Saccharomyces cerevisiae S288C: one gene and its partners. The gene in region 4 interacts genetically with the main gene of each other region. Each region holds a gene or a part of one and is shown on either strand. Other genes may lie near its edges.

Region 1 (9,296 bases), on a different chromosome or scaffold from region 4:
TGTTTGAACAGCTCAAAGCAATGTTTTCATTAAAGGTTATAACTAAGCCATTTGTGGTACTTATTGCATTATGGTTCATGTTCGCATTATTTGCCTACAATATGATGGTTTTTACTTTATCTTCATACGCAATCTCGAAAGGATTATCATCGCACGACGCTTCCACATTGACTGCCATTTTGAACGGCTCGCAATCCATCGGAAGACCTCTGATGGGTTTAGCGGGAGATAAGTTTGGTAGGGCAAACGTAACGATCGTATTAACCACTTTGTTAACAATATATATGTTTGCGTTCTGGATCCCCGCTCATACGTTTGTTCAACTCATCTTTTTTTCAATTCTAGTTGGCTCATGCGTTGGTGTCGCCAACGTCATGAATACCGTTCTGATTGCCGATATGGTTAAACCAGAAGAGTTTTTGCCCGCTTGGGCCTTCGTCAACTACTGTGGTGCGCCTTTCTTATTGGTTTGTGAGGTGATTGCCCAGGCATTGACGGTGGAGAAAGATAAGAGCAATCCTTACTTACATGCACAAATTTTTTGCGGTTGCTGCTTTATTGCCGCACTAATTTTAATTTCTATCCTTCGTGAATATTCTATCAGGATGAAATTAACGGAAAGACAAGCTATGACAAACGAGAAGTTAAAAGAATGGAAGGCAAGCGAATACGATACCGATTCTGCCGATGAAGATTGGGGTAAATTAAAAGAAAGAAAGACTAAATATGACCTTCTTTTAGGTCCGGGCATTAAAAAATACTTCCTAAGAATGGTATATCCAATGAAGGTCTAGTTCTTTTCGACGACCTGATTCATGTTATATACGCGATAGTTACGTCGCCTACTCATCATATCATTAGTACATAATATTCAATATCTCCGCTTCACCTAATTAAATTTCTTTATTATCAAAAAGACGTAAAGTTAACGCTGAAAAAGCATTCTTTACAGAAAACGACCTTTTTTTAACCTAATATATTTAGCACTGTAAAGATATTCCATGTATCCATATGTAATACACTTTGTGTTGCGGATCCAGGAAAAACAAAACGAAAAAAGAGTCTCTTTACTTGCAAATAAATCTGTAAATCATTTGCTACCATTACAACTTATACATTAAACCTGCGTGGAGGAAATTTATTATAAATGAAAAACGGGACGGGATCATTTCTTAACGGAGCGATTTGCTCAATAAGAAAAGCTCTTCATCGCCATCGTTCTTTAAATCTGCCCTAAAAATATACAGTCTGTCTTTAAAATTTTTATACTGGCTAACAATTTCCTTTAAATTCGTATTAAATTTTCCCAATAATCCGTTAGATGCTTCGTGATCATTGAGATTCATTTTAATGAAGATTTCGTATCCAATGTCGTTCAAATTACAATAAACTTTGACGAACTCGTAAACCGAATTTAAAAGTAAAACCAATGAAGTTGGGTATGGTTGCCCAGAATAATCACCAACGCTTATTTCACTTGTGTTAGTTGCAAAAAGCTTATGAGAAAGAATATTCGTCAAGAACGTGTTATGTACACTTTCTAATTCATCAATATTCAGCGTCTTTTCGATTGCGTGTTTTTGGGGTTTACTGCTTGAAGACTTTGTTAGTACTTCAGCTTTTGGGGTTAAAATCCCATTTAATTCTATGGTGCCATTATTTAATCTAATTAAGTCGAATTGGTTTTGGCTTTTATTCTCTGTGCGTTGCAGTTTCCGGGTCATTTCTTTAAAATTTTCCTCTATAATGCAGTTCAAATAATAAGATTCCATCTTCGAGTTGAATTGCTGGAATTGAGTTCTAAGTATACTGATTCTAGAAAGTTTATTGATAATATCACGGATGAGCGGGTTGTAACCTCTGATTTTCTTGAATGATCTGATTATATCATTACTCTTCAACATTTCCTTTTGATAGAAATAATTGTTCTTTTTAAATCTCCATAAAAAATTGAAAATTCGTAGATACTCTTTCCTGCCAAAAGGACGATTTACGTTTAATACTAAACTCAAAGGGGGGTAGAGGATGTAATCTAAAGTAAAAACATCCCAACCCACGGATCCATGTCCAAGATCGAGTACCCTCGCATCCAATCCATTAATGACAGAACTATTACGGGGACTATTCATTAAATGTCTTAAGGAAGAAAGCTGCACGGCTTCCTGTAAAACCCTTGTTAACTTATAATTTGGCAATGAATCCGATGGTGTCGCGAGAATATCATTGGCCTTTTCTATAAGAGCATCCATAAAATCAGATTTACCCATGAGAAGAATATTCTTTAACGCAAATACCACGTCTCTGTAATGAAACTTCTGATTTAGAATTTGATTAGTATGATTAACAATTTCAGAATATTGATCATTTATAATTTCAAAAAAGTTCGTTGATATTCCCCGATAAGAATTGCTCTGGTACAGGACATGATACTTTTTAGAAAATTCGTTTGTCCATTGAACCTCTTTACAGTACTTTTCTAGGAAGATATACGATTTGCCGATCATGAATATTTTATATGCCAACTCTTTCGGTATGAAGGCCGGAACTCTTTCTTGGTTGAACTCTATAGGAATGTGGTAAATAAAATCATCGTCTGTACCATTTGTATCAGTGTTTTCAGCAATGAAGAATTCTCCATAAGTAGCTCGGAGTAGACCTTTAGTCAACCAATTCATTAAATACTCATAATAAAGAGAAATCATTGAATTAAACAAATTCGTTGCTATTTTTCTTATAGTAAGATCTCCGTGGGATTTGAAAATATTTAATTCAATCAAGAATGTATCTCCGCTCAATTCTTCAAGGTGTTCTGTAAACCTACAGTATATTCGAAGCCTTATTATATTTTCATATATTTCACGATATAACGATTTCAATGACACTACTGTCCCTGAAGAGACCAGATTGTTCACAAATGCTGTGTAGTTTTGTAATTCTTCTGAAATTTCTATAATCAATGCTTTTTTCATTGGAGATATATTCAACATCCTAAACTTCTCCACTTTATAACCCAAACTTTGATATAATAAACCCGCTTCAAATATTAAATGTAAAAGTCCACTCTCAAAATTGGGTATCTTAGACGGAATTTGTATTTGCTCATGATCAAACGGAAATAGTGCCGATGTCGTAGCTAATAATGTATATGATACGTATTTTAGGATATCTTCCTCGGGTATAGTGTTCACATAATAAGGATTTGACAACTGTCTCAAAGTAACAGAACTGTAGGTTGAAGAGGGAACGTAACGATTAGGCGAAGATACCATGGACCTTCTTTCAGAAAATCGGTCCATGTTTTCAAATGAAGCTTCTGTATATATACTTGGAGCCCGCACTGGGCTAAGTAAATGTTCATGGTTAGCAAGGTTCTCCATATTGAGCCCAGATGATTTTTGGACAATTTTTGCTCTGTAATTTGATGGAAGCAAAGATTGAAAGACAGAGAGGTACTTTACCATATCATCGGTGTTCTGGATTCCAAATAAAGCATCGAGAAATTTCTCAATTTTATGCCACATAATTGTTGTTTCAGGCGAATCTAGTGATTGTAATTTGTAAAAATCAATTAAAGGGCCTAATTGAGTTGCCGATTTGGTGGATGATCGCAGTAAATTGACTACATCAGATACAAATGTCTGCAAATGACTCTGCGACAATAATTGAGGAGCCAATGCCTCTATTATACCAAAAAGAGTGGGCTCTAGTTCCATATTGATTTTTCAGCTACAACTGAAATAGACTGTAATATATATTATGGTTATGCTTAGTATTCTGGCTCTTCTATTTCTTATATGCAGATGAAGCCATCAAATGAGTATATTTGTTTGTTTTGTTTAGTTTTGTTTACAAACGCGACGCATCAAAAATCGTTACCCGTATATATTATGATAATAGAAATCCAACAACGGTTGTCCTAGTATCCCACTTGTGATATGAAGATCCAATCATCACCATTGCGCGATCAAATAAACACTATTTAAGGGGTTTTCATGCTCCTCCATTGAAAACTATATAAACATAGGGAGGGATAGGAGATTGTTAATGACAATAACATCGCGCCCCGAGCCTCGGTATCCGTAAGTAGAGATTTAAATATTCAAATACTCGGATTCCTTGTTTAACAGATCTTGGCTGGAACTATTACGGTGTCCATATCCAAGGTCCTCCATAGATATTTCATAGTGTTGAAAATTGTAAAATTGAAGCAAGGCCCGGAGTGCAATTTCTTGACCACAAGCATCGCTCAACTCTCCTGATATATCCTTCCCTGTTACCCAATTATCAGTTAACTCCAGCTTTTCATAAAGGTAAACCCCCGATATCAATTCCATATGCTCGGATTTCCACCTCTTGTTTTTGAATGGTGTGAGTTCTCTTGTTATTTTCAATATTGGATGATACATGTCAAGGTTGAAGAGCCGATAATAGCGTTTAAATAGAATGCCGATGGAGAGGGGCAGCTCCTTTAACCTTTGTGTTTTATTCCCTGTGACTTTTCTCAAGATTCTTAACAGATATGCAAACGAAGGCATAATCTCCGTGTCGACCTCTCCTGAGTCATCTACTGAATAGGATTCACGATAAGACTCGTTAGAGAGAGAACACTCCTTCCAAAATGAATTCGGGGTTTGTACATATTTATTGAAAACCCTCTCTGGATAAACCTCAGAATATTTGCTTAAAATAGATGCGCATGTGTTGATGTATCGCGAATCGTGAATAACTACCGCCAAGTGTTCAAATTTCAAAATATGGCTTAACTTAAACCACTTCAATAACGCATGTAATATGCCCGCTGCTGACTTTAGGGACAATTCCTTAGCTCTCACGATCTCCAATTGGGGTGTCAGCATATTTAGAAGATTTTTATCGGAGACTTCACTTTTCCTATGAAAGTTATTTGTCAAGCTTGATTCCATTGTTTGCAGTAAGACAAAAACAAGAGAGTTAAAGCTCGAAAGGCAGCTCTTATAATATTTGTCAATTCGCTGCATAATGCAAATCGCACTTTTTTCCTCTTTTGAAGAGTTTGCATCATGATTAAGCGCGGCATAATCATATGGCTCATTTTCTAATTGCTGTTTCCAACCACGTTCAGTTATCATGAATAAGTCCCTTTCGTACCAAAGTTGTTTTGTACTCAGCTTAATTTCTAAACTCTCGCTTAATATTCTCGCTGCCTCTTCGGTACTGAATGGAATAACTATATCGTTATCAGGTTTTCTCTCTATATTTAAATCTATCCTATCTTCCAGAGTGTCATCTTCAGATCCTTCATTATCAGATGGATACAAACACGGATATGCCATGTTTGTTTGGAAAGATTTACGAGGTCTAGGACCTTCACCTAAATGCATTAATTGTGGAGAGCTTGGCGGTGAAGGAGCAGGTGTAGCAATATGTTTTTCAGGAACAATGAGCGCCATATTTAGAGGATTCTTTGATTTTGGACGAGGAATTTCCAGAAACTGGGAAAGAGATTCTGATTTGTCAACATCTTTAGGTAAGCCAGAACTGGGCATATTGTAATCAGGAAAACGGGAAGTAATGTCCTCCCTGAATGCTTGATAATGTAATGGGGAGATAGAAAGCTTTTCTGGATGCTTTGATGGATATGTTAAGCCATGGAGATTATAAATAGATGATTTGGTCTGTTTGTAGACAGAACTGTCACCAAATTGTAATACAATAAGCTTGAAGAGCAAAGAAATCATATTTCTTATGCGCATAGCTAATCTGCTATTCCACCTCCAATTTTCAATATACTTTGTTAAAAATTCCAACAAATCTGTTTTCTCAAAAGCGTCGATAACAACATTTACTGCTTCCGGATTTTCTCCTCTACCTTCTATACAAATACTGCATATGAAGTATAGGATTGTTGACGAATGAAATAGCAAAATTGTTTGTTTCTTTAAATTTCTGTTGTCATCCCTACAACTTATTGCAATCTTCTTGAAGGCATGAACAATTTCTTGAATATGAGGAACAAGCATTAAATTGTTGCGTCGTATAATCTTTGTATGCTCACTTTTGCTATTCGTAAACGCAAAGCATCCCATAGAAATATATGATAATGCGAGTAAATTAGATGCTAAAGAATTGGGGATGTCTTCAATTAAACATTCAACTACGCTCGCAGCATAGTTTTCATCATCAAAGAATAATTGTGGTTGCGTAATTTTCTGTTTAAACAGAGTCTGTGTCTGTCCAAAATGCATATAATCAGAGCTGCAAAACCATTCCGACAGTTCATCTTCCAAAGAATAAAACATCTTCAATTCCCAGTCCACTGCTCTTTGTAAAGCATAAGGTGCACTTGATCTTTCCTCAAGTGAAGCTGCGCACTGGTCAAGTGATTTCTGAAATTCTTTATCTACCGGCATATTATAATCAACTTCGCCCTTTTCATTGATAGGAACATGCTTGCCATCAGAAACCTTATTCAAATCAAAGCCATCCAGTTCATCTACATTAGCAAATGATTCATCCTCATTCTCCTCTTCAGCTTCTTCAGCATCGTCTTGAAATTCAACGGCGTTATCAGTATTATTATCTTTCTCATTATTTCTATCCTTATTAACGCCATCATCACTGAACTTAAAATTATCATTTTCATCACTACTATCTTGCTGTATATCTATGGTACGAATATCTCCCTCAAGACCTGATCTTGCCTTGAAGGTTAAGGCACTGATATTTCCATCTGATTTATTTCTTTTATCGGCATGAAAACTGTTTCTTCCCATGTTCAGTTTACCGCGCAACATGTTGTCCAAATCTTTTAGCAGTTCTTCGTTGCTCAATGTTCCGACCTGTGGTTCTTTATGTGAAGTGACTTCATCTTTGTACTTTAGATTGCCTTTGAAACTAGAGTTTCTCTTAAGATCTTCTAAAGACACAGACCTTATAATGGGGCCTTTGGAATGAGATCTTCCACTAGCATTCATTTTAGCGAGGCTTATAAATGAAAATTTGTCACTTAACCTTCTTCTTCGGCTATAAATACTAATAAAATTTCTCTACAATGCCTTTCAACCTACTCCTTGGTTCTCATATATTTCTTCCTGTTTCTAGAATGGCGTTTTGATTCATATAATTGACCGCTCCAAAAAATACCTGCCAGTAAATTAAAGTACCATACAAGAATATTGAAGAAAAGGAAAAGAATACATAATATAGAAAAAAGCCTACCAAAACAAACCAATTCACAATAAATATAACACTTTTAACTAAGTTTAACGAATGAATGGATTTGACGAAATGCATAAACCTATATAATTTCCCATTCCAATTTCAGTGCCTGAAATAATTTCAAGCCGTGAGTGCTGAGCTCCCCAAAACCGTCCAGCTCTTGCCAGCTTATGGTTGTCCCAAGCATTTCGTCTCTCTTTAACCTCTCTACTTGAAAGTAATCTGGCGAAGAATCGTCTTTAATTATGTGCATCAAAGTCTCAAGGTATATATTCAGCCAACAGCTGGCGCATGAAGTCCAAGATATTATGCTACTGGCGGCTTTGGACTTGCTGGTCCCCAGGGTAAATTCTATACGACAATCATTTTCCAGTGTTAAGTAGTCCCTACCAAAAATGAAGGTCATATTACCACCGCATTCATGCGCCATGATATCTGAATATACTACTTTTCGGGTTAGGAGGGCATTTCTATCATCGTTGTAGTGTTGAATCTTAGTAGTTACAATAGCAGACTCGGAAGTGATTAAGCTTGATGGGCGGAGGAACGTCATTTTAGCAAGCCTGAATTTAAATTTGAATTTTACCGCCTCATTAGAAATTCCTTCTTGGGCTGCTTTTTCATGGGTAATAAAAAACTCATGGTACCTTAAGTATCTTAATTGAGAGGGTATGGTGACGCCATTCGTCATACCATACTTGAATCTAGCCTGCATGAATATCAATCTTGCTTCTCCAAGAGGACACTGCAAGTATTTCATGAGGTATGCTACTGTTATCATACCAGATCGGCCTTTCCCCATTCGACAATGTAAAACAGCCACTCTATTCTTCGAAACGGACAGGTAATTTTCTATACCATCTACAATCTCTTCCAGCAGTTCAAATGGCGGTGGAAAATGATCTAGCCAACCGATCCTTTCACAAATTACATTATTGGTTTCTTCTTCGACCAAGGTCCTTGTTTCGAGATCAATGGGTGATATTGGTATCTTTCCATCATTAATCAGCGTCGAACGTAATTCTTGAATTTCAAAATCTTTGCTCTCAAACTTGGCAGCGATACCAATAAGATCATTATCTTTATAATCGCTGTCTTCTTTCTCACCTCTAAAATTAAAAATTCTAAAATTTCCCTTGCCATGGTACACTGTTAGAAACAATATTAAGTCATCCAAGCTATTCCTATAAAGCAGTTTTGGATACGTGTTTACCGGGTATGAGCAGACTATTAGATTAACTAAAATATATGATATATCTAATCTCAAACCTATATCGTTTTTAGTTTTTTTCATTGGTAAAGACAATATTTTCTTCATCAAGTTGACTGGTTTCCATTTAAGGAAGCCTTTTTCCATTTCTAATTCACTCCCCTCCTCTCTCATTTACACCAAAAAAATAATTTCAAAAATCGGGATGGTGTTATCAATATTGTGGTTCTGAAATTGTCTTATTTAAGTTATCTATCGAGGTACACATTCTTATTTTTATTGTTTTTACTTTTTTTTTTTTATACTTCTCATCGATTTTGTGGCGCTTTCCTAATCCTTACAAAGCTTTAGAATCTCTTGGCACACCCAGCTTAAAGGTTTCGCAATTGGAGTGTCATCATCATTTATGAACTCTTTTATATTCTTTGACTTCCTTGGGTCTAGTAAACCTTCTACGTCTCCATTAACAAATAACTGCGCATGATTTGCACGATAAGATTCATACACAAATTCGTCGAAATAATACGGCGGATCCACCCAGAAAGAATCCAAAGTCTGGTATCCTTTTCTGGAAGCCCTCCTTTTTTTTAGTACTTCATAGGGAGCACGCACTAATATCTTCAAATCAAATTTTTTTGATATTCCAGTATTATTGAAAATCATAAACCCATCTACAATTACAACTTCATATTTGTCGTCATTAATAGAGTCATACTTAGCCTTTAACTCGTCCCAAACTTGTCTATCAATGTGGAACTTTGTAAAGGGATCATCTACGTTGTTATTGTGTATAAGTTTGGTGGCTATTTTACCAGTTTGTTTGATCACATCTAATTCTTTACCGAAAAGTTTAAAATCAAGAGCTTCTGGCGAATCCCAATTTTGAATG
Region 2 (5,003 bases), on a different chromosome or scaffold from region 4:
TGGGAGAATGGTTCAGAAAAAAATCTCCACATCCTGGCCAAGACGAAAGTGTCGAATCCATTTGTGACAGAAGGTTTGGGAATAACTACATATCAAACAATATGATCAGTGCCTTACTAAGAGGTATCTATGGGGATGACGTTTCCCTATTAAGTGCCAAGAGAACGTTTAAGAAAATATACTACAATGAACTAAAGCACGGATCTAACACACAAGCTATGATTGATAATATGCGCGGAAAGTCAAGAAGTAAAAAAACTGAGAACCTGCACCAATCTTTAACTGGCTGCCTTAACGACTACTCAAATGCGTTTGGAAAAGACAGGTCAAAGTTATTAGACTTATCCAACACGCTAAAGAAATATCCCATGTTGGGTCTTGCTGGGGGACTAGAAACGTTTCCCAAGATAGTCAGAAATGCTTTGAACGAATTTAAAAACGTCAAAATAGTTACTGGGAACCCGGTTACGCAAATAATGAAACGCCCTGCTAACGAAACGACAATCGGATTGAAAGCGAAATCTGGCGACCAATACGAAACATTTGACCATTTAAGACTTACGATAACACCTCCCAAAATCGCTAAATTGCTACCGAAGGATCAAAATTCATTATCCAAGTTATTAGATGAGATACAATCAAACACAATAATTTTAGTTAATTATTATTTGCCAAACAAAGATGTAATAGATGCCGATCTACAAGGCTTTGGATACTTGGTTCCCAAATCCAATAAGAATCCAGGGAAATTGCTTGGTGTAATTTTCGATTCTGTTATCGAAAGGAATTTCAAACCACTTTTTGACAAACTCTCCACAAACCCAAACGCCCTCAACAAATATACAAAAGTGACTGCGATGATAGGAGGTTGTATGCTCAATGAACACGGTGTTCCTGTAGTGCCATCCAGGGAGGTAACCATTAATGCAGTCAAAGATGCGCTGAACAACCACCTCGGCATCAGTAACAAGGATCTGGAAGCTGGTCAGTGGGAATTCACTATCGCCGATAGATGTCTGCCAAGATTTCATGTAGGTTATGACGCATGGCAAGAAAGAGCTGAAAGGAAGTTGCAAGAATCTTACGGCCAAACAGTTTCTGTGGGGGGAATGGGATTTTCTAGAAGTCCCGGTGTCCCTGACGTTATTGTAGACGGCTTTAACGACGCCTTACAGCTAAGCAAATAAGTACGTATATATATGGTTAGCTTTACGCAAACTACTTCTTTTGACAATTGAGGCAGTTATCAGCTAATAAGAAAAAGTAGTTAGTATCAAAAGACACAATTTATTTATATTAACCAAATTTTTCAGAACATCCTCCGGACCGTCAGTCTTTAACGCCGAGCCGCCGATGATGGGTTGGAGTCAAAACGAGGGAACTCAATATTAATTGCGGAGTTGAGCGATGATGGGTTGGAACTATATAAAGCATCGGAAACGCATGGCTAAGGGAAGTGGAAGAATGCAGGTTACAAAAAACGGATAAGAACAAACTTGTTTCGAAATATGGCCGCTCCAGATTATGCACTTACCGATTTAATTGAATCGGATCCTCGTTTCGAAAGTTTGAAGACAAGATTAGCCGGTTACACCAAAGGCTCTGATGAATATATTGAAGAGCTATACTCTCAATTACCACTGACCAGCTATCCCAGGTACAAAACATTTTTAAAGAAACAGGCGGTTGCCATTTCGAATCCGGATAATGAAGCTGGTTTTAGCTCGATTTATAGGAGTTCTCTTTCTTCTGAAAATCTAGTGAGCTGTGTGGATAAAAACTTAAGAACTGCATACGATCACTTCATGTTTTCTGCAAGGAGATGGCCTCAACGTGACTGTTTAGGTTCAAGGCCAATTGATAAAGCCACAGGCACCTGGGAGGAAACATTCCGTTTCGAGTCGTACTCCACGGTATCTAAAAGATGTCATAATATCGGAAGTGGTATATTGTCTTTGGTAAACACGAAAAGGAAACGTCCTTTGGAAGCCAATGATTTTGTTGTTGCTATCTTATCACACAACAACCCTGAATGGATCCTAACAGATTTGGCCTGTCAGGCCTATTCTCTAACTAACACGGCTTTGTACGAAACATTAGGTCCAAACACCTCCGAGTACATATTGAATTTAACCGAGGCCCCCATTCTGATTTTTGCAAAATCAAATATGTATCATGTATTGAAGATGGTGCCTGATATGAAATTTGTTAATACTTTGGTTTGTATGGATGAATTAACTCATGACGAGCTCCGTATGCTAAATGAATCGTTGCTACCCGTTAAGTGCAACTCTCTCAATGAAAAAATCACATTTTTTTCATTGGAGCAGGTAGAACAAGTTGGTTGCTTTAACAAAATTCCTGCAATTCCACCTACCCCAGATTCCTTGTATACTATTTCGTTTACTTCTGGTACTACAGGTTTACCTAAAGGTGTGGAAATGTCTCACAGAAACATTGCGTCTGGGATAGCATTTGCTTTTTCTACCTTCAGAATACCGCCAGATAAAAGAAACCAACAGTTATATGATATGTGTTTTTTGCCATTGGCTCATATTTTTGAAAGAATGGTTATTGCGTATGATCTAGCCATCGGGTTTGGAATAGGCTTCTTACATAAACCAGACCCAACTGTATTGGTAGAGGATTTGAAGATTTTGAAACCTTACGCGGTTGCCCTGGTTCCTAGAATATTAACACGGTTTGAAGCCGGTATAAAAAACGCTTTGGATAAATCGACTGTCCAGAGGAACGTAGCAAATACTATATTGGATTCTAAATCGGCCAGATTTACCGCAAGAGGTGGTCCAGATAAATCGATTATGAATTTTCTAGTTTATCATCGCGTATTGATTGATAAAATCAGAGACTCTTTAGGTTTGTCCAATAACTCGTTTATAATTACCGGATCAGCTCCCATATCTAAAGATACCTTACTATTTTTAAGAAGTGCCTTGGATATTGGTATAAGACAGGGCTACGGCTTAACTGAAACTTTTGCTGGTGTCTGTTTAAGCGAACCGTTTGAAAAAGATGTCGGATCTTGTGGTGCCATAGGTATTTCTGCAGAATGTAGATTGAAGTCTGTTCCAGAAATGGGTTACCATGCCGACAAGGATTTAAAAGGTGAACTGCAAATTCGTGGCCCACAGGTTTTTGAAAGATATTTTAAAAATCCGAATGAAACTTCAAAAGCCGTTGACCAAGATGGTTGGTTTTCCACGGGAGATGTTGCATTTATCGATGGAAAAGGTCGCATCAGCGTCATTGATCGAGTCAAGAACTTTTTCAAGCTAGCACATGGTGAATATATTGCTCCAGAGAAAATCGAAAATATTTATTTATCATCATGCCCCTATATCACGCAAATATTTGTCTTTGGAGATCCTTTAAAGACATTTTTAGTTGGCATCGTTGGTGTTGATGTTGATGCAGCGCAACCGATTTTAGCTGCAAAGCACCCAGAGGTGAAAACGTGGACTAAGGAAGTGCTAGTAGAAAACTTAAATCGTAATAAAAAGCTAAGGAAGGAATTTTTAAACAAAATTAATAAATGCACCGATGGGCTACAAGGATTCGAAAAATTGCATAACATCAAAGTCGGACTTGAGCCTTTAACTCTCGAGGATGATGTTGTGACGCCAACTTTTAAAATAAAGCGTGCCAAAGCATCAAAATTCTTCAAAGATACATTAGACCAACTATACGCCGAAGGTTCACTAGTCAAGACAGAAAAGCTTTAGGTACTTATGACGATTTGGAACACATTCAAACTAGAAAAAACTTTGATGTAGGATATCCCTATGCACATCCATACGGTATACATAGTGAACGCTCACTGTGTATAATGGACTAACAGTAGTTATAAACCTGCTTTCGTTACTACAGCACACAAGACTATTGTACTTTGTTAAAGAACTATAAGATTAAAGACATACATAATTCCAACTATTTATACCATTAAATATTCTTCTTAAGCTTTTTTTCGCGGCTTTCTATAATATATGAGGATCAATTAGTGAAAGCAATGCTCTCTATGTTGGAACCACAGTGTAGATACTGCACTTTCATAAAGCGCTAGATATAGCTGGTCAATCTAGCGGAGTACATGGGTCACAGTTACCATTCTCGTAACTTGACTTGGTGCACTACGGGTCAAGATGATTGAAAACGGCTCCCACAACTTCAACTGAGGTCTGTTTCAGATGGAGGTGCAGTGTTTTCCATGTAGTGAGCCCTGATATCGGGGCGTAATCACCTAACTCAGCAAAGGTAAACCTTTCTCATCTGACGGAGATAAAGTGATAGTAATCGGGGATGCGGCGACAGAGATTGAAGTTAATTTGACCATTGAATAGTTGCTTATATATGATAGACTTAGCTAAAAGAAAATAATGAAGGCGTACCCCATATCGCTGATCAGAGAAATCCATGTAGATAGAATTTCTGTCTCCGCTAAAACTGCATGAGCGACTGACTGAAGCTCTACTCATTCAAAAATTATCCCTCTTCACTTCCCGTATTCACACTTGTTGCCACTATGGACATGCTCTCTTTGAAAAATGTAGTCTCACCCACAGAAAAGAAAAGATCATTTGAAAATAAGATATCCTGGGAAACCCGCTTGAATTATTCCAGTGTTTCTACCTAAAGAAAAATCACGCAACCAGAAACAGATTTCGTCTGGGTTCGTTCAACAACTCTTTGCTTAAGATTTAATTAGCATATGCTAAATCGCCATTAGGAGCAAAACCAGGGCTTCTAACGATTTCCAATAAAGAAGATACGGAACTTTTCATGTGTTGACAACAACATTACAGGGATTTTTTCAGACTTTCATGTTACCGGTCAATCTGCTGATGCATACATACAGGTATAAAGAACACTTTGCCTAGAACAATAAAGAAAAGTCAAAGACATCTGAGAGGCATCTTCTTACCTGAAAGAGACGCCTTGTATCTTCTATAGGTCAACTAGAGTAGGTGTTCCGGAAACCTGAATGA
Region 3 (7,317 bases), on a different chromosome or scaffold from region 4:
TATTTAAGGCCTAATGGTAGAGACACGTCAATATCTCCAGACGCAACGCATATTTTGGACTCATGTGATTACATGGTGCTGGCTAAATCCAACGGATTCATTGAAATCATAAGCAACTATCAATACAAGATAAAAAATGGCCTGCGATTAGCGCCCTCTTATATCCTTAGATGTACTCCGGAAGATTTCGAATCCAATTTTTTTAGTGACTATATGATCGCTGGTCTTGAATATAGTCAAGGTTTATTATATTGTTGTATGTGCTCCGGTCGAATATATGTCTTTGTAATGAACCTTCCCACTGATTACATTCAGTATAAGAACATGTACAACCCCATGTTTCCAGATTGCTTTTTCAAAGTACATCACGATAATAATACAACACATTCTTCAGAAGAAGAAAAATTATTTGAAGGTAGTACGCGGTACACTGGAAGGTCATGCTCTAAGCATATCTGCTACTTCCTTTTGCCTATAGAACCATCCCATTTAAGATCGTCACCCGTGGTATCTTCGTTTTGCAATATGTATCAAGGCCTGCCCATATATAGGCCTTCGATGTATTTACATATAGAACGAGGTATTTCCACATTCCATATAAATCCATTAGACCGGTTTTGTTTCATGACAGTATCGCCACGATCACCACTATTTATAAGGAAAATAATTTTACCATTGACTTATGTTACATTTTTAAGCACCTTTATCAGCCTAAAGAACAGTATACAGGGAGATACATGCGGTGAGATACTTTCGTGGGACAACGTAGCGCAACAAAATGGATTTGGTTCTTTGTTCAGCTGGATTAGTAACAAGTTTACATTCGATACGGATATTATAAATTCAACCATTTGGGATGATATTGTAAAATATTCTGGAACAGGAATGCTGGATTCAGGAATCGTCTGGAAACAGCGTCAAGGTCACGCTAAAGATGACATATATGAGTTATTCCACACTCAAGATATGCTGGGAAGTAGTCGCCGAAATTCTTCATTCAGTACTGCTAGCAGCGAACCGAGACCGCTGAGTCGAAGAAGGAGAGAATCTTTTCAAGCCTTAACTAGAGACGCTTTTAGAGAAAGAATGGATGTACCCTGTTCAACGAAGTGGGAATTAGATTCTTTTATCCGAGGATTAAGAAGGAATACATTTATGGTAGATTTTGAAATTGTTGAAAAGATTTCTCATAGAAATGGAAATGATGGGGTGAATGAAGATGATAACACTACAGATGAAAGTGATGAAACAATGACTTCTTTTCTAACAGATAATTACAAAAAGATGGACATTGTGTGCATCGATCATTTCGTCACGTTGAGTGCATTCCGACCTCGGTACTATGATGAACCAATAATTAAAATCGATTCATTATCGAACAAAAATGGCTCTGAAAATGGAACTAATGAAGAAGAGTGGGCAGAAAGTCAAATGAAGGTGGATGGCCAAGTGATAGATGATGAGACAGCTCAATTCAAGCAGGCATTGGGAAATTTATGTTCATTCAAGAAATTATTTATGCTGGATGATTCTTTATGCTTTATATTGGACACACATGGAGTTTTGTTGATAAATAGATTTGAAATAAAAAATACCAAAAATTTGTTAAGGAATTCCAAGGATACTATTCGGATAATACCCCATGATTTCGGATTGATTAATGATACAATTGTTATAATTAATGATATAGACGTAGGCACAGACAATGTTTGCGCCCTTACGTTTCACTTGGTGGTAACATCAATGGCAGGAGAGATAACTGTTCTTAAAGGCGAATTTTTCAAAAACTGCAGGTTAGGAAGAATAAAACTGTGCGATTCACTAAAGCTAAATAGAAAAGATCGGTTTGTCGACAAACTTGCTCTAATCGATTATGACGGTTTAAATGCACAAAAAAGAAGGTTAGATTACGATGAAAAGGACCTTTATACATTCATTGTGAAAAAGGTAAAAAGAGACTAAATTGAGTTGCATAGATGTTAGCCATAATAGAAAATAGCGTATGAGGTAGCAGGAGTTATAAGACGTATTTACGTATATGTATGTATATGTTATTATTATTACCTGTGATTGCACGAAGGCCTTTTTTTTTCACAACAAGAAGATGTAAGAAATTTACATGCTATTTTGATTAATGGTCGAATTAGGTATTGTCTTTAATCTTTCATTAAGAAAATATAATGTAACCAAGAACAGCTTGTTAAAGGGCTTCCTATTTAAAGTTATCTTCTTTTCCCCAAGGTACCACTCCTATATGGTTGATAAGAATTGTAGTTTCTGTAATTGGAAGAGTTGGAAATGCTGTTATTATCAACATAAGTAGAAGGGTTATATCTGGAGCCATACATATTCTCCGATATCGACGAGACGTTTACTTTTGTATTTTGATACCGTGAATTTTTACTAATATTATTATTGAGTGACAGCGTCTCGCCCCTTATAGTTGGTTGAATGACATTAGACTTTTGATAAGGAGGAGGATGGAAGTTCGATGCTCTACGTTTATTTCTGCCACTATGAGAGTGATCGTTTTGGGAATGTCTTTTATGGGAAGGTCTCGGTAGTGGATCCTCATCGTATATGGACTCACTAAATTGATAGTCTTCATTTTCGTCCGAATTTCTGTTCATGTGACGGTAATATTCCTGTTTTAGCTCAACTGACAAATTAGAACCAGTGAACGCACTTCCATCCTCGTTAGGTACTCTAGATGATCGTTTTTCCTTGCAATCATCACCAAAGTGCCCCTTTCCACCGCAGTTATAACAGTATATAGTATGAAAGGGAAGGACCTTGGGCTTAGCCTTTTCATTATCATCTACTAAAATATATGCTCTCCATATACTAGGACATCTTTCTTTTGAGTGTTTCTTACTCTTACAAAGAGTGCACTGAACTTTTTTCCATTTATGTGGACATTGTGACCTGTAATGACCCACCTCATCACACTTTGAACACTGGATAGCCTTCGGACAATGTCGAGAATAATGATCATCCGTCGCCCCACAGTACGAACATATTATATGGGGACAATCCTTCTTCAAATGACCTCTTTGAGAGCAATTATTACATTTAGGTGCTGCCTCTTTAATGGCATCCTTGTCATCATCGCTTACGCCAAAATATCTACCCTGCCCTCTAAGAGCTCTTAATTCGTTGGGATTACTATTTACTTCCTCTATAGAAGGTGCTACAAGTTTATCTGGAGGAGTTGTGGGTGCCGTATCGACGACAAATGGTGCCGTATTTTTTTCCATGACTGCGAGGAAGTGATGTAAGCTGCTATCGTTGTACAGGTAAGGTTTAATTCTCTCTGATGCTGCCAATAGTCATAACTTTTTTCGAAATGTTTCTTCCCATCCCATTAGTGTTTGAAGGAAAAAAAGGCACTACCCGGATCATGAATACATTTGATGGTAATAATATATATCACATTTTTAAGCATGTATTAGCTACTGGGAAAGGGCATTTTGAAATGGTATGTTTTCTTTAAGGATGAACTATATATATTACATGAAATATATTTCAGGTTTACGTGAAGGGTGAAAAAGGAAAATCAGATACTCACCTGTAATCATTAGCGGGCTCGTTTGGATCAGTTTTAAAGATTTTGTCCGGGTTCATGATTCTCTTTGGGTCAATAGCTAGCTTAATCTTTCTCATCAAATCGACGGGTGCTTCACCTAATTCTTCGAGCAAGTACTCTCTTTTACCAATACCAACACCGTGTTCACCCGTGCAAGTGCCTTCTGCGTTCAGTGCTCTCTTGACCATTCTGTCAACAAGTTGGCTACAGGTTTCGTGTTCTTCAGGGGTTCTGTAGACGATGAATGCATGGAAGTTACCATCACCTGCATGACCAACAATGGCGTTGATCAGCTTACTAGCTTGCATGTCCTTTTTAGTTTCGTGAATAACCTTGTCGAACTGCGACACAGGAACAGCTACATCAGTTGTCCAAATTTTAGCTGATTTGTCTTTGCTCTTATCAGCGTCTAGCACAGACCATAGCGCGACCTTTCTAGCTTCCCATAATTCCAATTTTTCGTCATCATCTTTAGCAAACTGAAAACTGTTGCAGTGATTTAACTGGGCGACAGCCTTAACTTCATCCACAAGAGCATTGACAATGTTGGGAGATCTCCCACCAATCTTGAAAAACATAGTTGGTTTCTCTACCCAATCACATCTGTCCGTGGATTCAGATGCGTTGATCAACTTCATCATATTTTCATCCAGTAACTCCATGGCGTTCAAATGAATACCACTCTGAGTCAGATTAGAAGCACATGCGGCCGCATCCTTGATAGTATCAAAGGATACCACCGCAACAGTTTCAGCTTTGGGCTTGACATGACACTTGACAGTAGCTTCAGTAACAATACCTAAGGTACCTTCACTTCCCACAAATAAACCATTTAAGTTATAGCCAGCGCTCGACTTTCTGGGTCTTTTCTTCGTCTTGACAATGGTCCCGTCCGGCAACACTATAGTCATGTTTATAATATTCTCCTTCATGGTACCGTAACGGTAGGCGTTGGTTCCTGAACAAGAATTAGCAATGCAACCACCAATCTGTGCACCTGGACCAGGGTCACAGCCAAACATCAAACCGTGGTCGCTCAAATAGTCATTCAAATCCTCCCAGGGTAGACCGGCCTGCACGGTGATGTCCAGGTCCAGCTTGTCAAATTTTACGACGTTATTCATAAACTTGGACAGGTCTACGGTTATGGTATCTCCAATTCTTGTAGGCAGGAAGTGCCCCTCCAAGGACGTTCCGCCCGAGAAGGGTACAACTGGCATGTTGTTATCGTGACATATTTTCAAAATTTTGGAAACTTCTTCGGTAGTATGAGGGAATAATATAATCCTAGGTCTTTGCTCGGGAGAGGGGTGATGCGTGTTGAAGTAGGTATCTGAATGGGCGTCCAAATCGGATTTCGCATCAGAGTAGTTTTCAGGCTTGTTTCCCAGCACCTGCTTCAGGTCCTCAACAACCTTATCGATCTTAACCGGGTCGTGCAAATAGTCTGGTGAGTCCAATGAGGACAGCTTTAACGTAGAATTTACTGGGTCGATCTTTTTGACCATTTCCAGCTTCTCTATCAAATCTTCCTTAGTCTCCCTAGAATAGAGGTTCTTAGCGAACAAATAACCGAATAGAGTAGCTGAAGAGGCGATGACAGAGTATTTTAACCACTGGCTGCTGCTGTCGGTGCTGCCTGTGCCTGTTGAGGCGTATCTGTAGCATGATCTTCTCACCAGCCTTCCTCTAGGTTGTGCAATAGGCTTTATTAGCCTTGTGCAAGTACGCTTCCACAACATTGTTCTTGCTTTTGTTTCCAGCTGGATCGGAATGATGTACAATATTTAAATTGCACTATAACACGGAAGCTCAAGAAATCTTTCCAGCCCACACACACACACACATATATATATACATATGTAGTTCCGAGTGCAAAATCGCTAAGCGGTTATTACTGCACCAGTTGGGGCCAACTACGCTGGATCGACGTGGGATTGGCAGGGAAGAACTTCGAGGGAGGTGGTCGGAGAAGAGAGTGGGATGCGGGCGTGGGGGTCTGCTGTTACTTTTATCGGCACAACGGACCTGGGTTGACAAGAGCTTGAAGGCTCCAAGAGACAGCGACCGTCGGCGCCGAATGACGAAACTATGCTGTGTGTGACCAGGCGAACAACATTGAGAGAGTTGAGGAGCCGTACGGACAGCTGTTTGTAGTGATATTTCCTTGTTGTAACCAGACGAGTTCCTTTATAACGTTTTGAAATGTTTCATAGGGTTACCCTGACAGAGCGGTGGCTTATGTCAAAAAGGCTGACGCTGATACTAATGACGGTCAATGGAAGCATATGAGCAAAAGCAGCAGCAGCGTTAGCAGCAGCAGTAGCGTAAGACCAAGTTAGTATGGCTACGTTCAACCCACAAAACGAGATGGAGAACCAGGCACGTGTACAAGAGTACAAGGTCTCCACTGGCAGAGGCGGAGCTGGCAACATCCATAAATCTATGTCCAAGCCGTCTCCCGTACTTCTTCCATTGAAATCCAATTCAAAGACAGTAGCAAACAACAATAATAACGGTAGCAACCAGGAAAAGGTTCCTCGTTTTGCAATTGGTAGAGGTGGTGCCGGTAATATCTTTCATGATCCGCACCTGACGAGATCCGCCCAACAACTGGACTCTAACGACAATATCAACTATAACGACGTGATCAATGACATCGACGATTATATTTCCCCTATAACTTCGGATATGGTGGATGAAGGTGGGTCAAACCCGGTGACCAACACCAGGTCTCGTATCAGCGCTACAAGGAGCCATCAGTCTTTGCATGCCACCACTTCGTCTCCGAACAACAACGCCCCAATTGTCGTTGGTAGAGGTGGGGCAGGAAACATTTTCTTCAACAAAAAAAAGGTGGCCAGCAATGGTGGAAATGAAGAGGATGAGATACGAGGCGGCAATATCGAGGATGAGGATACTATCAATGCAAACGAGGACAACCTGTTTGTGGTGACTTCCAATGGCAATGCTTTGGCGGCAATCAAGTCCACGTCCAAGAAGCCTAAAAATAAGCTCAAGGGCAAAAGCGCACCGGAAAAATTTGCTATTGGAAGAGGTGGCGCTGGAAACATAATTTCTCCAAAGTCAAGCAGGAACACTATCAACCATAACTTAAACGATGATGATGAAGATAAGTTTAATTTGAAAGATGACAATGGTAAAGAGAAGAAGAAGAAGAAGAAGAAGAAATCAGGGTTTTTCAGTTCTTTGAAAACTATGTTTAATTGAAATAACATTCATCAGCAAAATTAATAAACTAAATAAAATAAATAAATAAATAAATAAATAAATAAATAAATAAATAAATAAATAAATAATATACGATCATAAAATAAATAATAACTCAAGCTTTTTAGACTTGACTAGCTAATTCTTTCAATAGTTTGTAATCACGTTGAACGATACCACCATTACTTGGTAGATACGTAGTGCCGTCCATTAGGAACTTATCGACAGAGGCAGCACATTTTCTACCTTCTTGGATGGCCCAGACAATCAAAGATTGCCCTCTTCTACAGTCACCACATGCAAAAGTCTTTCCTCCATCAATAGAGTATGAGGAGTCGTCGAGTGTGGCAATCGTACCACGTCTTGTCTTCTTAACTTCGTTATCGTTGCCATTGATCAATTCAGGACCCACGAAACCCATAGACAACAAAATGATATCGGCTTCAAAGATCTCTTCACTGTTGGGAATTTCTACCATTTGCCATACGCCACTTTGTGAC
Region 4 (5,940 bases):
ACTTTTTTGAGAATTCACTTGGTTATGGGCGATTCGTTGCCACCAACTATCATTCCCATCGCATCTAGCAAAACGCAAGCGGAAAAGTTTTGGTTTCACCAATGGAAACAAGTTTGCTTCATACTGAATGGTTCCTCAAAAGCTATTATGTCTTTATCGGTCAACGAAGCTCGAAAATTTTGGGGCAGTGTTATTACGAGAAATTTCCAAGATTTCATTGAAATATCTAACAAGATAAGTTCATCAAGACCGCGACATATACCGCTCATCATTCAAACCTCAAGGACATCAGGAACTTTTCGAATATCACAACCAACTATCAGTATGACTGGAGTCAATCCTACGTTGAAGGATATTGAAGGCGATATTCTGGACGTAAAGGAAGGAATCAATGGTAATGATGTCATGGTTATTTGTCAAGGAATTGAAATTCCTTGGCATATGCTCCTGTATGATTTGTATTCTAAATTGCGAAGTTTTGATGGCTTTTTGTACATAACTCTTGTTCCTATAAAAGGCGGCGATAAAGCTTCCTCTGAGCTCTAAGAGCTGTTATATACGCATTTAAAAGTGTCATTCAAATATCGCAGAAAATAACTTGGACGTTGAAAATAGGGCCACATTTATACGGCTGCAAGAAAACTTTTACTCTCTTTCTACCAAGTTTGTTACTGCAATTAAATAATCTTTATCATGGGATAGCGAAACTAAAAACTCATGAGTGGAAAAGAGAGAATCGTAGTTTTTCGAGAGCTGTTGATACTTTGGATACTTTTTTCCAAACATCTTATCAAACTCTAACTGAGGTACACCTGTATCGGTTTGTGTTTTATATAGCATTCCAGCGTACAGTACTTGGGCAGGAGGTAGATCATGCTTTGAAACACAGCAACACAACGCTTTCAATGAGCATTCCTTCAAAGCCCAAACTCCCGCTATATATTCATGCAATCGTGGAGTTAAGCAGTTTTCTTCGATGAGAAGATTACTGAAATGAAATCTTTCCTTTTCATGCATGAACTTCCGTGTTATTTTATTCAAGGTAGAACGGCCACATGGGTCGAATGGGGAATATTTCTCTAGTATATGTGCAAATCTTGGCAAGTATACAATGTCAACTCCCACTCCTGCTATCTTACGTCCAATATTCCTCGATGCAAAACTCATCACTGGAGGCATTCAAAGCTAGCACTTATGAAATAAACGTTCATTAGAAAGCAATACTCCTGATAAGAAAATAGTGCTTAGCTTCTATTCAGCCTTCTTAAAGAACTAGCTTTTCTATCAAAAGTCAGATCTCTTATGACCGCTTGAACCTGTGGAATGTATATAAGCAGTTTTGATGTTAAGATTTTTTTTTCAATAGAATTTCTTCCTTCGGAAATAATCCCGATTAAGAAATTATTCTTGACGCAATATTCAGCTATATGTTGATCGGGCTTAACCGCATAAGTTTCGTTACCCTTTTTTACCCCAATTTTTAATTTCGGCGGTTATTTTCAGCCCTTTTAGAGTCAAGATATATAAGAATGCTTCTCTAAGAAGTGAGACTAACAATGAAACCCGTTTCAGACAATCTGGAAGTCTTAGAACGCATAACACAGAAATGTCAACAACATTAGCAGCACCAGCGAAACTAAAGAGTTTGCTCCTGAATCTACATACTCACTGTATTGGGCTACACGTTAACGATGTCACACCTAAAGTATATTTCAAGTTATTGATACGGCATCTTCTACAGATATCTAGATCAAACGCTGCTCATCCTAAGCTAAGAAGAAGGGCCCAGATTTTATTGGTATCGCTTTTCCTATCTGGTGTCACACTTTTTTCTGGTGTAACATATAGTACTTTCAAAATTATTCTAAAATGTTATAAATTTTACAAGTTTCCATGGAAGAGAAGGAATAGGAGACCTTTAATAAGAAGAACAAGATCTCAAATGCAATTAGACAGTGGTGCAAGAATAATGTATATTCCTGAAGTGGAATTAGTCGACCGCCAGAGTCCCGATGACAACAAATTTATGAATGCTACAGATAAAAAAAAAAGGAAAAGGATATTTATTCCACCAAAGGATAACGATGTATATGAACACGATAAGTTTCTTTTTAAAAATGTAGAACTGGAAAGAGCCAAGAATTCGCAGTTATTCTACTCAAAATTTTTAAACCAAATGAACGTCTTGTCTAAAATTTTAATTCCAACAGTTTTTGACAAAAACTTTCTTCTTTTAACTGCTCAAATTTTTTTCCTGGTGATGAGAACTTGGCTCTCTTTGTTTGTAGCCAAGCTGGATGGACAAATAGTCAAAAATATAATTGCTGGTAGAGGAAGAAGCTTTCTGTGGGACTTAGGGTGTTGGTTTTTAATTGCTGTCCCTGCTTCTTATACTAATAGTGCTATTAAGCTACTTCAAAGGAAGTTGAGTTTAAACTTTAGGGTAAATTTGACACGTTACATCCATGACATGTATTTGGATAAAAGACTAACATTTTACAAATTAATTTTTGATGCAAAGGCGTCCAATTCGGTAATCAAGAATATCGACAACTCCATTACTAATGATGTTGCAAAATTTTGCGATGCGACATGCTCCGTTTTTGCAAACATTGCAAAGCCAGTTATTGATTTAATATTCTTTTCGGTTTATTTACGTGATAATTTGGGAACTGTGGGAGTAGCAGGTATATTTGTTAATTATTTCATTACTGGGTTTATTTTGAGGAAATACACGCCACCATTAGGTAAATTGGCAGGCGAGAGATCTGCTTCAGACGGCGATTACTACAATTATCATCTAAACATGATAAATAATAGCGAAGAGATCGCATTTTACCAAGGAACAGCAGTGGAAAGGACGAAAGTTAAAGAGTTGTATGATGTGCTGATGGAAAAAATGCTGCTGGTTGATAAAGTCAAGTTTGGTTACAATATGTTGGAAGACTATGTTTTAAAATATACATGGTCCGGTTTGGGTTATGTTTTTGCCTCAATCCCTATCGTTATGTCTACCTTAGCGACAGGCATCAATTCAGAGGAAAAAAATATGAAGGAATTTATAGTCAACAAAAGGTTGATGTTGTCGCTTGCAGATGCAGGCTCGAGATTGATGCATTCGATAAAGGACATCTCACAATTGACCGGCTACACTAATAGGATATTTACTCTGCTTTCCGTCTTACACAGGGTTCACTCTCTGAACTTTAATTACGGCGCTGTTCCTTCAATCCTGTCAATACGTACAGAAGACGCTTCCAGAAATTCCAACTTATTACCCACCACGGATAATTCGCAAGATGCTATTCGTGGTACTATTCAACGCAATTTTAACGGTATTCGGTTAGAAAATATAGACGTAATCATTCCATCAGTAAGGGCGAGCGAAGGCATAAAGCTGATTAACAAGCTTACATTTCAAATTCCTTTGCATATTGACCCAATAACTTCAAAGTCCAATTCTATACAAGACTTATCGAAGGCAAATGATATAAAGTTACCATTTTTGCAGGGTTCTGGCTCCAGCCTGTTAATATTAGGGCCAAATGGTTGCGGTAAAAGTTCAATTCAACGCATTATAGCTGAAATATGGCCAGTGTATAACAAAAATGGATTATTGTCGATTCCTTCAGAAAATAATATTTTTTTTATTCCTCAGAAACCATATTTTAGTAGAGGTGGAACTTTAAGAGACCAAATTATATACCCCATGTCCTCGGATGAATTCTTTGATAGGGGGTTTAGAGATAAGGAGCTAGTACAGATATTAGTCGAAGTGAAACTAGATTATCTTTTAAAAAGAGGCGTTGGCTTAACTTACCTAGATGCCATTGCCGATTGGAAGGACTTATTAAGTGGTGGTGAAAAGCAAAGAGTAAATTTTGCTAGAATCATGTTTCATAAACCACTATACGTAGTATTAGATGAGGCTACAAACGCAATTAGTGTTGACATGGAAGACTATCTGTTCAATCTTTTAAAACGATACAGATTCAATTTCATTTCCATATCACAAAGACCCACATTAATCAAATATCATGAAATGTTACTAGAGATCGGTGAAAATCGAGATGGCAAATGGCAATTACAGGCAGTTGGTACCGATGAAGCAATCACGTCGATTGACAACGAGATTGAGGAATTGGAGAGAAAACTAGAAAGAGTAAAAGGTTGGGAAGATGAGAGGACGAAGCTACGGGAAAAGCTTGAAATTATTTGAAAACACCCTAGAAAGGGAGAGATTTTATTTAGCGAATATAATTTATATATTATTTCCGTAACTGAATTTGTACTTTTGAATGTTTAACTGATATCTAGAGATATCGACATGGGAATGCCCTCTCAAACTAGAAAAGGGCAGAGAACGAAAAGAAAATGAAACAATTTGTTACCTACTATACAGTTGTTGGTCTTGCCAACACAAATATGAACATATATATATATATCTCACTTGATGAATCCACGTATCAAGGACAACCTTTTCATGGAAACATATACTGTAAAACAAAAAACTCTATTTGAAGTCCTTATGTGTCCACTTTTCAGTGATTTTCTGCTTATACTTTCTACCTTTCCTAACGGGCACTCTTGTTTCGACCTTACCAGAACTTTGTAGTTTTCTCACAGTATCATATAGCAGATTTCCTTCAGGTTTCAGTTTTCTCAATGAGTCAGATAATTCGTCAGAAAATTTAATCTCCAATCTTTCATCAATCACAGAGTATTTCGTCCCTAACTTGTGTTTCTTATTTTTCTTGCTTTTTTTAACCTTGTTGCTATCTGACTCTATGGCTGAAAGTATCTCAGTCTCTTCAGAATTGATAACTTCTTCTAAATCTTTAACACGTTGTCTCAATTCTTTCAACTCTTGTTGCAATTTTACTTTCTCTTCATGTCTCTTTGCCTTGTTTCTTTGATATTTTGTTTTCTTTTTATTCTTCACAGGCTTATTTATTGATAGTTTTATTTCCTTATCAGATCCACTACATTGCGTACTTTCATTTTCATTTTCATTTTCTTCTTCTTCTTCTTCTTCTTCTTCGTTTGATGAAGACTCTTCCTCTTCATTGTCATCTAAAGTTTCCATTAAATGTCTAATTCTTTCTTTGTACTTTTCCAAGGCGATTCTTTCATCTTCTCTTGCCTTTTCCTCTTTATACTCTTTGTTTATCAATTCTGACCAAGCTTTATTGTTGGGATTGTAGGATTTACCAGCATGTGGAATTTCTGTGAATTCTTTTACTGCAATTGGCTCTATATCTAAAGTACTTGGTCTGACTGAAGCAGTAGACCAACTTGTCGTGGATTTTTTCAATAGTTCTTCAGGTATCTGGTCCTTTTTTTCCACATCAAGTTTGATACCGGAAGGTAATTTGACCTTCTGTTTCTTTGAATTGGATTCTTCACCCCATAAGTCGCCAGCCGTTGTTTTAACTAGACCGTCTTTGGCAACTCTATTCTTGATCTTCGATTCGCCGTGTACTCTGCCAGCCAAAGCCATTAATTTCTTTAATTCGTGTTTAGAAACACCTTGAATCTTATTAGGATTTCCACTACTATTCTTATGGTGATTTAGTGCTGCAATTTTTGAATTCGTTTTAACGGCGTCTAAAATCTCTTTACTTTTTAGAACCTTCTTAATTTGTTTCCTTTTAATTAATTTATTTTTCAATATCTCATCACCCTCAACATCAACATGAAAAAGAGCATCATTTTGCAAAGAGGTTATATCACTGGTACCATGCGTAATTTCATGATCAATTTTCTTTTCCATATATTGTTCTACGTCAGATAAATCGATATTTTTTCTCCATGCTTTCTTACCCTTTCTTGAAGACTGTTTGTATTGAGATGGTTTCTTGGTTAGATTAGTTGGAGCCATTTTTAAATAAATGATTCATTAACGTGAGGATGGTATGGATCACAAGAAAGCCGAACTAA

The links.
Region 1: mutations in PXA1 (region 4) and FAR11 together harm fitness more than expected from each alone (negative genetic interaction), as found in Saccharomyces cerevisiae (2 studies listed by BioGRID).
Region 2: mutations in PXA1 (region 4) and FAA2 impair growth when combined (synthetic growth defect), as found in Saccharomyces cerevisiae (2 studies listed by BioGRID, with this or other methods).
Region 3: mutations in PXA1 (region 4) and PAR32 together harm fitness more than expected from each alone (negative genetic interaction), as found in Saccharomyces cerevisiae (2 studies listed by BioGRID).

Annotation. Positions count from the first base shown.
Region 1 is NC_001146.8:381,644-390,939, reverse strand, and holds FAR11 (Far11p), read right to left. Parts: upstream 6,954-9,296; coding exon 4,092-6,953; downstream 1-4,091. Other genes in the region: ESBP6 (Esbp6p), read left to right, coding at 1-794; SPC98 (Spc98p), read right to left, coding at 1,173-3,713; TEP1 (putative phosphatidylinositol-3,4,5-trisphosphate 3-phosphatase), read right to left, coding at 7,277-8,581; NRK1 (ribosylnicotinamide kinase), read right to left, coding at 8,738-9,296. UniProt on the Saccharomyces cerevisiae protein: Participates in the control of the reentry into the cell cycle following pheromone treatment.
Region 2 is NC_001137.3:183,033-188,035, forward strand, and holds FAA2 (medium-chain fatty acid-CoA ligase FAA2), read left to right. Parts: upstream 1-1,508; coding exon 1,509-3,743; downstream 3,744-5,003. Other genes in the region: HEM14 (oxygen-dependent protoporphyrinogen oxidase), read left to right, coding at 1-1,187; BUD25 (Bud25p), read right to left, coding at 699-1,137, 1,646-1,668.
Region 3 is NC_001136.10:142,262-149,578, forward strand, and holds PAR32 (Par32p), read left to right. Parts: upstream 1-5,929; coding exon 5,930-6,817; downstream 6,818-7,317. Other genes in the region: GID12 (Gid12p), read left to right, coding at 1-1,962; AIR2 (TRAMP complex RNA-binding subunit), read right to left, coding at 2,223-3,257; DLD1 (D-lactate dehydrogenase), read right to left, coding at 3,565-5,328; GLT1 (glutamate synthase (NADH)), read right to left, coding at 6,942-7,317. UniProt on the Saccharomyces cerevisiae protein: Involved in resistance to cisplatin.
Region 4 is NC_001148.4:271,649-277,588, forward strand, and holds PXA1 (ATP-binding cassette long-chain fatty acid transporter PXA1), read left to right. Parts: upstream 1-1,606; coding exon 1,607-4,219; downstream 4,220-5,940. Other genes in the region: ATG5 (Atg5p), read left to right, coding at 1-546; PPT2 (holo-[acyl-carrier-protein] synthase), read right to left, coding at 646-1,167; NOP53 (Nop53p), read right to left, coding at 4,514-5,881.